2 linked regions of the Coturnix japonica genome follow. The protein of the gene in region 2 purifies or fractionates together with the protein of the main gene of each other region. This does not show direct contact. Links are inferred from orthologs where the notes say so. Each region holds a gene or a part of one and is shown on either strand. Other genes may lie near its edges.

Region 1 (5,205 bases), on a different chromosome or scaffold from region 2:
AGGAATTCAGCAGAGAAAGTAGACAAGTTTTCAGAATGTTCAATAGTAATTTAAAACTATAAATTAACATAATTAACAGTGCTGTACATACTGATGCTCTTTCACTGTAGTTAAGATTTGTAAACAGTTCCCACTTATCTGTAACCTTTAAGATAACCATACATGCTTGTCCTCTTATTTCTCATAATGTGTACCTTTTATGTCAAGATTTTCTATTCTGTTCTTATCTATAAGTGATGTTTAGGGAACTTAAAGGAAAACTTGTAGATATTTTAAAGAAGCAGGAAGGCAAAAACATTATTATTAACGTTAAAAATTGGAATTTAAATGCATCCTTTTGCAAAAAAAAAAAAAATTGTATTTTTTTTCATGACTAGATTATTGTGACTAGATTTTTAAGCTATGGCTATTTGAAAGTTCCATGTTAACCATTTCTAAAAAATACATTCTTCTCTCAGTCTTTGTGTTTTTCCCCCTGCAGCAGTTGCATCACCTAGGCAGAGGCATTTGTCTGTAGGTAATTGCATTGTAAAAGTCTAGGCAGCTTTTCCAAGTCATTAATTCAGTTTTCTGGACCATCTATCAAAATTTAAAACAAACAAACACAAAACAAAGGCTTTCTGCTTTAGAATGTACAACACTGGAAGTCTGTGAGAAATTAAATCTGTGACAAACTAATACTGCTTTCTGGGCCACTAATGAAGCACCCACATGTCTTCTGAAGTGGTCACCAGACCGAGCAGATGAACCAATGTTTGTCCCTGTGGGCACACTGGGAATCAAGTTGCTAATATATGTCCAGTTACAAAATTGAGTCATTCCCCTTGTCCCCTTGTCCCCATTCTTTTCTCTTCTGCATTGGAGAAAGAATTTATAAGAGGAATAGTCAGTGCTTGGAAGATACCTAGTGATGTTTTACTTATCTGTATTCCTTTTCTGTGTTTAGCTTAAAAACAATTACATTTTGCAAGTTATTTTTCAGTTGAAATTTATGTTAACATCCACAGTTTAAAGGGATGCAGAAATTCCCTTTATTTGTTTTATTGCAGTGTGTGGTTTCTGCTTTCATTCTGTGATATCCCTTCATAAAAGCTGCGAGATATCTGAGAAAGGGACATGCTTCTACTTAGAAGGCTATTTTGCCACCGTACAGGATTATTTAAGATGTCTTCGCATAAACTAATATCTAACATGATTGCCAAATTCCAGTCAACTTTCCTTTGTGAAGTGTTGCTGTTAAAAAATTGGATTTTTGTTTCAATAAAGAACTAATTGGAAATATTTAGGTGATTTGTCTATAGGTGGGGGACCACAGCTACTTGTCTGTATTCTAGTTCATCACTTCAAGGAGACTGCATTAACTCTGTGTCTAAAATGTTATGTAAATGGAACCACCACAAAATGCTCAGAAACTCTGGAAATAATTTGTCTAAAAATTGCATGTTAGTGTTTGAACGGACTTTGGCACAGGCTAAATGCATACTAGCTTGCACTCTCCCAGACAATTCCTGGGCACAGTTTGGAAATCAGTGTGAGTCAGGAACCATTACCGATGGGCAGCAGAGGCATGTGACTATATTATTTTGAATCATTAGGAGTTTAATAATGTAGGCATGAGACATTATGCTGTCAGTAGCCTTAATGCCAGACAACAGTCCCAAGTGTTTTTAACCTATGAGTTTAAGTGTATCCATTGAATATGTTGGCTGAGATAGCACTTCACTATCTGAGGAGTGGAAATTTCTCCGTTGATTTGAAGGAGCAGTTCTTAGAGGCCTAAACCCAAGAGCTCTTTTAAAATATGTGATTTAGATAATAATCTTTCTTAAATCTTCTTTTTACTGACAAGTTCATTAAAAAGGGAGCAGTAAGGCATTTTAAGTGTGATATTCTCACATTTCTTTAATCCATGCAAGTGTGGCTTTCAGCTTGTGCTGAACACAACAGTCCTTTAGGCCAATTTTTAACTTCTGTCCTTTGCCAGAAGATGAATGTCCACATTCACTTGCTGGCCATGAAGCTATATTGGTTCACCTTTATACCTTTTTAAAAATTAGAAAAAAATTAAAAAGAATTTTTAAAAAAGCTTGCTTTTCTCTTTCTTCAGGTTTCAGATTTCTTCCAATGATGATGTACAGTAACTAACCATTTTTACAAAAACAGCTTTTGCTTTGTTTATTCATATGACCCTTATACAACAGATCTGGGACAGATTAAGCAGAGTAATCCATCACTGATTTTCATTCTATTTTACTGTATCTTTCATTCTTACATGTTATAGGCTAAATTACATGTTATATATTATCTGTATTGAATAATTGGTAAATTATTCAGAATCTCAAGTTCTTTGAACAAACAAACTGACCATAAAATACCAGGGTTACATCTTCTATCACTTTTCCTTCAAAGAGAACCGTGGTTGGTTTTTTTCAAAAGATCTGTTATAAGATGCATAACCTATCCCTACACAATGAAAAGCATTAATATAGTATTTGTGTTAGAAGTTTGGAGTGAGGGGAAAAAATGGTTACTTCTGTCTGGCTTACCAAAAAGGAAAAAAGATAAAGACAGTGACCACTTAGTAAACTTGCAGCAACTACTTGTATAAATATTTTACACCTCAGTCTGCATGCTTCCTTGGATTTTTATTTTACCTGTATCACTGATTATGAATGCCATTACCTGACATTCAGACTGCTTACTTCTCAAGATGAGTATTCCCCAATGGATTAATTAAATGCTGCTATTATTTGCTCCTGTGAACTAAAGTTAATGAAAAGAACGTAACTCTGCATTACTTTGCATGCTGCATTCATAATTACATTAATCCTACTCTATTCTGTAGCCCAACCTTAGCAGCATTTTTCCAACAGCTTGAGTACTTGAGTTTAGGACAACAGCTAACAATTACATATTGCATTAATATAATGAGTTATCAACATTTTATAGGAAAGTTTCTTTCAACTACATGAGAAACGTACAGCCATGGAATCATGGAGTCATGGAATGGCTTAGGTTGAAAGGACCACCTAGTTCCAGCCTCCCTGCCGTAAGCAGGGACACTTTCCACTATATCAGGTTGTTCAAAGCCATTTATTAAAAAACAGCAACAACAAAACAAGAAAAAGCAATAAACAAATATATATCTGTGCAATAAAAATCTGTACAATAAATCTGCACAGAAATTCATACTGCTTGTAAATTACTAACAGGTAAACACAATCTTTGCGCATTCTGTTAATTACTTAAGAGGACATGCTACTGTATGTTAACCAGCCTTTAAAGAAAGCAAAATGTGGAGAAGTACAATATATTTTTCATTCATTCTAGAAAAAAAAATAATAAAAAAAATCAAATCTCAACGAGCAATTGTTAAGAAAATATTGGTTCTGGGTGTTTTTTTCACTGTAATATTACATACTGTCTATAATTTTTGAAGCTGAATAAAAACATGTAGCTGTCAGGAACTTTTACATCACATGAGGAGGGAAGAGTCCTCTCCCCTGTTTTAAACAGTGTTCAAACAGGTAATGTCTTTGCAAGCAGAAAGCCATAAAAAGCAGCAAGAATGGTAGATGTTTTGGTGGAAAGTGTTTGAGAAATATGTTTTGAATTCAATACTGTCTGCACGAAGGTATTAATTCCTGCCTTTTAAAGTTACATTAAAATTACTGAATTATGTGTTCTCTTTAAAGAACAAGAAATGAGACTCAGAATAACTGGCTGTGCAAATACTTCATTTTTATGGGAGCTCAATCATTTGTTTAGAGAAAAAATAAAACACATTCTCTCTTGACTTCAAAGGGAGCAGATTAGGCGGTAGCATTACCCTAAAATTTGCAGTTCATTTTCACAACTATATAGGTGTGGACTTCTCAGAGGAATTTAAAGAGCCTTGCCCTGCTCTACACTGCCACCAGCTTTGTTTAGTGCAATGTACATTCCTTAATGTGCCACAGTCACGGTTGTGTGACTGCATAGCTCCTCCCATACAGATTAGGACTACCTCCACCCCATGACTAAGGCCTGGAGCAGAAATAAGGTTTGAAGTATTTTTTGCTGTGCTTTCTGAAGTACTTGTTTGTACCCCATTTTGTGCCCAATTCACACAAAAAGAGATATAACTCATAAGTACTACAATATTTTCAGGACCCAGTGAGCATTCATTACATAGTAATTTGTTGTGAGTAGACTTTTGAAGACAAAGGAGATTCAGGAACACTTGTCTGAATGCAGCTGAGGAATCATTTTTAAAAGTGGATTACAGTAATATCTACTGGAATAGAACATATTTAACAGTTTAATTCCTTAAGGAAAAAAATGCTAATTTACTGACGTGTTACAATAACACTTTCTAAAACAATTAACAAATTAGTTGTTTCCTTGTGTAGGTAATAACATCATAATATTTAAACAAAATTCCAAAAGTTCTGTTAGTGAAAAAGGATTATAAAACCCTAAAATATTGCCAGTGATGTTCTCACTGGAAAATTCTGGCAGAAGCAGAAGCAGAACAGTCAGGTAGGTGTGTCTTACATGACGTTTCTACTGCCTAAACCATATTTGATATGGAAGATGCCTGGCATTTGAAAACAAGGAGTATTTACATTTTATTTACATGGTAAATCAATTAAGAAAAAAAAATATATAAATCAATAAAATCATATAAGCACTCCAACAACATGAAATATTTACAGTAAGGTGGAAGTAGATTGAAGGTAACCCGTCTGCAGCCTTGCCCTTTTAGACTCAAATTTTCCTTTGAATTCACATTTAAGTTGACATAATACATGTATGTAGCCTCGAAATAGGTAGATTTTAAAATTCATCTTAAAAAAAAAAAATTATATATTTTCCCCCTCATCTTGCAGAGTTGCTCTGTATTAAATAAAGCATGAAGATTTATGAACATGCTTCATCTGCTAAACTAATTATTAAAAATGGATAATTTGAAATTATAAATGCACAAACAGTTGTAGGGTTGGGGCCTTTTATGTTGACATATAACAAAGACATGTAATTAATAGATTTCTTTCAGAATCTGGTTTACTTTGTTTCCTTTAAACCCATTAGGTTGAATTACGGTGTTCTCCAGTGCTGTCTTCATTTTTGTACTTTGAAACAAATACACTTGTAAAACAAACTTTGATTAATCCAACAGAACAATTTAGTAGTGAAGCTTGAGCAAGACTTGAAATCTGCCTT
Region 2 (4,926 bases):
TGTAGAGCAGACAGTGGTTGATAGTGAGTCATCCCTCCTTATTAAATTGCCCCTCCATCATGAGCTGCCTGCAGGCACTGCTCCAAAGTCCATTGACTGCAGCAGGAGGATGGCTCCCAGACACAGGGTGCTGGAACGAGCCCTAGATGAATTTTTATTTGATATCTGTATTTTAAGGAACTGTTTGCTCTACTTAGAGGTAGAATTGCTACTGCACTGGAACGGAATATTGAGGTCTACAGGACTAAAACTGGGACAACGGGTATATCCTATCTAATGTAACGCCTCCAGTCACGTTAAGTCAAGTTAACTGGAAAATCAATTGACATGAACTCCAGCATGACCATTAGCTGCTATCCAGCTGAGCCCAGAGAGCCTTGCCAAGAAGCAGCAGATTTCTAGCTGGGATAGAGCAGAGCTGTGCACATTCATCTCCTAGAGATGCTTCCCACCTGTGGTCTCCTAGGCAATGTTTGTGTTGCCCCGAGCAATTATCATGGCTAACAGACAGCACAGGGGTCAGGTGCTGTGGGCTGGACATGGGCTCTGCCCCTGGCTTTGGAGGGCAAGTGCTGTAGTTGGCTCTGTGCACCTCTGCTGGTACAGTTACTATTTGTTAAATCATAACAAAGTGAGGGAGACCTGAACTGACCACGCTGACCAAGAGGATCCCTACAGTACACATAAAAGGATTGTAGCAGGGAGCTGTTTTTTCCTCATCAAAGCTCCTTTCTCCTGCAGAGAATGTTACAGCTCTGCTGCTACAAAGCAGATCTTTGCTGTTGTGGCTCTGCTCATGCAAGAAGCCTTTTGCAGCTTGAGTGAACCTGGATTTCTTTCTAAGTCCTTCTTGCAGGTTTACCCGCATGTCTCTGCCTTCTATCAGGTATAGTGATATAGAGCTCAGTCTAAGAAATGCATATGGCTTTTTTCACATGTTTGCAATGAGCTTTTGGGCAAAGGATGTCCTAAACGGCGTCCAGGTGTGGAGCCCTCAGTACAAAAAAGACATGGAGATTTTGGAAAGGGTCCAGAGGAGGGACAGGAAGATGATCAGGGGGCTGGAGCACCTCCCCTATGAGGACAGGCTGAGGGAGTTGGGTTTGTTCAGCCTGGAGAAGAGAAGGTTGCGGGGTGACCTCATTGCAGCCTTTCAATACCTGAAGGGAACTTACTCCCAGGAGGGGAGTAAACTCTTCGAAAGGGCTGACAATAGCAGGACACGGGGAAATGGTTTTAAGTTAAAAGAGGGAAGATTTAGGTTGGATGTTAGGGGAAAGTTCTTCACTAGGAGAGTGGTTAGGCCCTGGAACAGGCTGCCCAGGGAGGTTGTGGATGCCCCGTCCTTGGAGGTGTTCAAGACCAGGTTGGACGGGGCCCTGGGCAACCTGATCTAGTAAAGGTGTATGTTTGGTGGCCCTGCCAGGCAGGGGGTTGGAACTACATGATCCTTGAGGTCCCTTCCAACCCGGGTCACTCTGTGATTCTGAGGCGGCCCCGACCGTGGCAGCGCCCCCTGCAGGCGGGAGGCTGCACTCCTCCCTGTCGGCGTTGCGGCCCCGCTCTGCTCACACTTGCCTTTGGCGCCCAACCCGCCCCCCAGCGGGAGAAACCACATTTCCGCGCTCTCTGGGGGGATTCGGTAGGTGAGGACGGGCGGTTTCGGACGGCTGCTTCGCCTTAGAGCTCCTTAAAAAGCTAAAGAGATATTGAAATCTGATAAAAAAGGCGATATTTTTAGTGTCTACTGCCTGGCGCCTTCTCCGGCCAGGGTGGGGTGAGATCTCTTCTCCGCTCTCCCCCTCCGCACTGTGCCGAGTGGTTCGCGCCGGGACGGGCAGGGGTGGCTCCGCCGCCATTTTGTTTCGTGAGGGGTGAGCGGGGCTCCGCGCCGAGCTCTGTGTGGCGGCCGGACGGGGCGGGAGGAGGCGGCAACGGGGGCCCGGAGTCGCTCGGAGCCGTCGTACCGGGAGGAGGCGGTCCGGGTGGGCTGCGAGACGGCAGCAGGAGGCGGCGGGGCGGCTGCCTCCCTCCCCCATCCTCGGCAGCCATGTACATCAAGCAGGTACGGCGGAGGGGCCTGCTGCGGCCTGCCCCGCTCCGGAGATAGAACGGGCCCGGCCCGGAGGGGAGGCGCGTGGCGGGGCCTTGCGGCCTCTGCTCGGGTGCTCGCGGGGCCCTTGGGCGGCGGTCCCGTGCTCCGTCGGCCGTTTCCATTCATTGCGGTGCGTGGTGGTGGAGCGAGGGCTGCGCTGCGGGCCCTGGGGACCTTCGGACGGGGCGACCACAGTGTCCCGGCCCTGCAGGGCACGGCCGGCCTGGACACTGTGCTGTTGGTGCTGGGGTGGAGCCTGGCCCGCCGAGCACTGACCATTCCAGCTGTGCGCTTCGTCCCTGACAAGCACCCAGCAGCTGATGTTCAGATAAATGAAGTCCTTGTGTGGGCCTTCTCCTAACAGTTTTTAAGGCTGTGACTCGCATTATTGTTGCTGTTAGCGTATCCCTGCACTAGTTATATATGCTGCACATCGCCGTCGAAGTTTTTGTCCTCGTTCTTACTGCTATCTCTGTACGTTCATCTGAAGCCTGCTAGGATTCTTACTTCTCTCTGCACTCAAAATTAATTAGGCCTTCTGACACCCATTGCGTATAATGCTTCAGACTATGTTTGGAAGCACACATTCTTCATGGAGATCAGGTTTTCATCAGTTGTTTGTCGACACGGGAGCGTTTGCAGATGCCTTTTGGTACTGTTTTAGTACACCTGTGTCACTGGTTCAGATGCATGTTTAATATATGATGCATGTTGCAGTACTTCAGATAAGAAAAAGCCCTACAGACTTTTTGAAAGCCATTGGTACCAAGGCAGAGCTTACTGTTACTGTGAGGATCTCCCATCTGGTAGATGGAGCCAGCCAGTACTTATAGGGTCAGGCGTCAGATCTTCTGTGAACAGCCACAGTGTTTGAGCAGTCATCAGCCAGTACACGGTCCCAAACTTGTGTTCTATACTTTGATCCATTAAATACTAATATCCTTGATTACTTCCAGTATGGTTACCTTATATCTAGACCTGAATACAGTGCAGGTCCAGAGTTTCATTTTGCTTTCTAAACTTACACTGTTAAGAAATCTCATAACATGTTTTGTTTTCTTCCTAGTTGCTAATTCTTCCTTTTTACGTTAGTTTTGATGGTGAAACGTCAGTGAGGTTTTAACAAGATCTTCTGGTGGTGAAATGCTAAGGAAGGGCACAGGGACTGAATGTCAGTTCTAGTCCATTTTGAAGTGGTCTTCCTAAAAGATCTGCAGCTTTTCAGGCGGCTGTTATTCAGATGTCACATTGTTATATATGTCAGATTGAGGAAAGCTGATGCAGAGTCCTTTCAGCACAGCTTTGATGATTGAAAAGGGCTGATTAATGCTGAGCTGTGCTGGAAGCCGGATCAGTTTTGCTGCTGCATGGAACTAAAGTATTCAGATACAGTCATTCTAGACTAAAATTGGATAGTTGTACTTATAGACTAGTGTTTGCTGTGTAGCTCTTTAGCTAAATTCATTGTGTAGGTTGTATATGTTTGTTTAGGAAGCAAATTCAACAGAACCAATATTTCTGCCTTTCACTTTCTTTGTGTTACTGTGCAGCCTAAAGAAAAAACAAGTCTGTCTTGCTCCTAGGTCTTGCTTTGACCTAGATATGTGCCAGTATCTTTTTTGAGCAGAGAGAAAAAATCTCAGTTCATAAAATGATGCTTAGGTGGAGGCCAAGTCTCATAATACAAGATACTGGTCTTGAGCTTGAGAGCTGACAGGATTAGGGAAAAGACATCAAGTGTATCAAGTGGTCTTGGAGGTGTTCAAGGCCAGGTTGGACGGGGCCCTGGGCAACCTGATCTAGTAAATGTGTATGTTTGGTGGCCCTGCCAGGCAGGGGGGTTGGAACTACATGATCCTTGAGGTCCCTTCCAACCCGGGTCATTCTGTGATTCTGTATCATAAGTGATGTGAATGTTGTGTAATATCTTGAGGTTTAAAAAGTGCTTAAGAGCAGAGGTAATTCTGTCGCTTTACTCCATAGGTAATCATTCAGGGCTTTCGAAGCTACCGAGACCAAACCATTGTGGATCCATTCAGCTCAAAACACAATGTCATTGGTGAGTTCCAATATCTGTTTTTTCACACTAATTAAAATTGCATCAGATCATGGTCAAATGAGTCCTTAACTGTTTATATTCTTCCTATGTTTGATTACTTTGTAATTTCTGCACTGGAAGCTTTTTTACAGTTGTCTGTTAATTTTACAAGGCATATTACAGCATGTTTATGGCAAAGCAATCTAGTGTTCATTTTTACTGTGACCTCAGAGTGATTCCATAGGAACTGAGTGAGAAGTGAACTGTGAGCACCTTTGTATGTATAGATGTCCATACTGGACAGTCCTCATTTAAGAGACTGGGCTTTTTGAAGTAACTCCTGATAATCTCAGATATGTGAGGGGATGAGTGAAGCTGAAGGGCTTTGGAGGCAATACGGTAGCAATGATTGATGCAGAGAACATGAAAAGCCTTGGATGTTTCATTGCTAGAAGGGAAGCTGTTCTGAACTTATACAGTCAATATTGGTCTTAAAGATGAGACACTGAGCCTTTACTAAAACATCAGAATATTCTTAAACCTTTATTTTTTTTTAATAGAAATCATATTTTTCTGGTCTGTTTAAAACAAAACATTTCTGAATTAGCATGTGGGTTGTTCATTGATTTCAATTTGTGGCTATATACTTTGTGTTTTAATTTTCAGTGGGAAGAAATGGATCAGGAAAAAGCAACTTCTTTTATGGTAAGGAGTGATTTTTTTTATATAATATTAGGATAAAGGCAATAGTAGTGGCTTCTTTTTTGTTTTGTGTTGAGGTTGATCATCCAAA

The links.
Region 1: the proteins of SMC3 (region 2) and NIPBL purify together in Homo sapiens (affinity purification with western blotting; 4 studies listed by BioGRID, with this or other methods). This does not show direct contact. The link is inferred for Coturnix japonica from reciprocal best matches to the Homo sapiens genes SMC3 and NIPBL.

The regions. Positions count from the first base shown.
Region 1 is NC_029547.1:10,336,019-10,341,223, forward strand, and holds the start of NIPBL (nipped-B-like protein), read left to right. Parts: upstream 1-2,125; 5' UTR 2,126-5,205. UniProt on the Homo sapiens protein: Plays an important role in the loading of the cohesin complex on to DNA. Forms a heterodimeric complex (also known as cohesin loading complex) with MAU2/SCC4 which mediates the loading of the cohesin complex onto chromatin.
Region 2 is NC_029521.1:22,933,628-22,938,553, forward strand, and holds the start of SMC3 (structural maintenance of chromosomes protein 3), read left to right. Parts: upstream 1-1,849; 5' UTR 1,850-2,050; coding exon 2,051-2,065; intron 2,066-4,078; coding exon 4,079-4,154; intron 4,155-4,799; coding exon 4,800-4,838; intron 4,839-4,926. UniProt on the Homo sapiens protein: Central component of cohesin, a complex required for chromosome cohesion during the cell cycle. The cohesin complex may form a large proteinaceous ring within which sister chromatids can be trapped.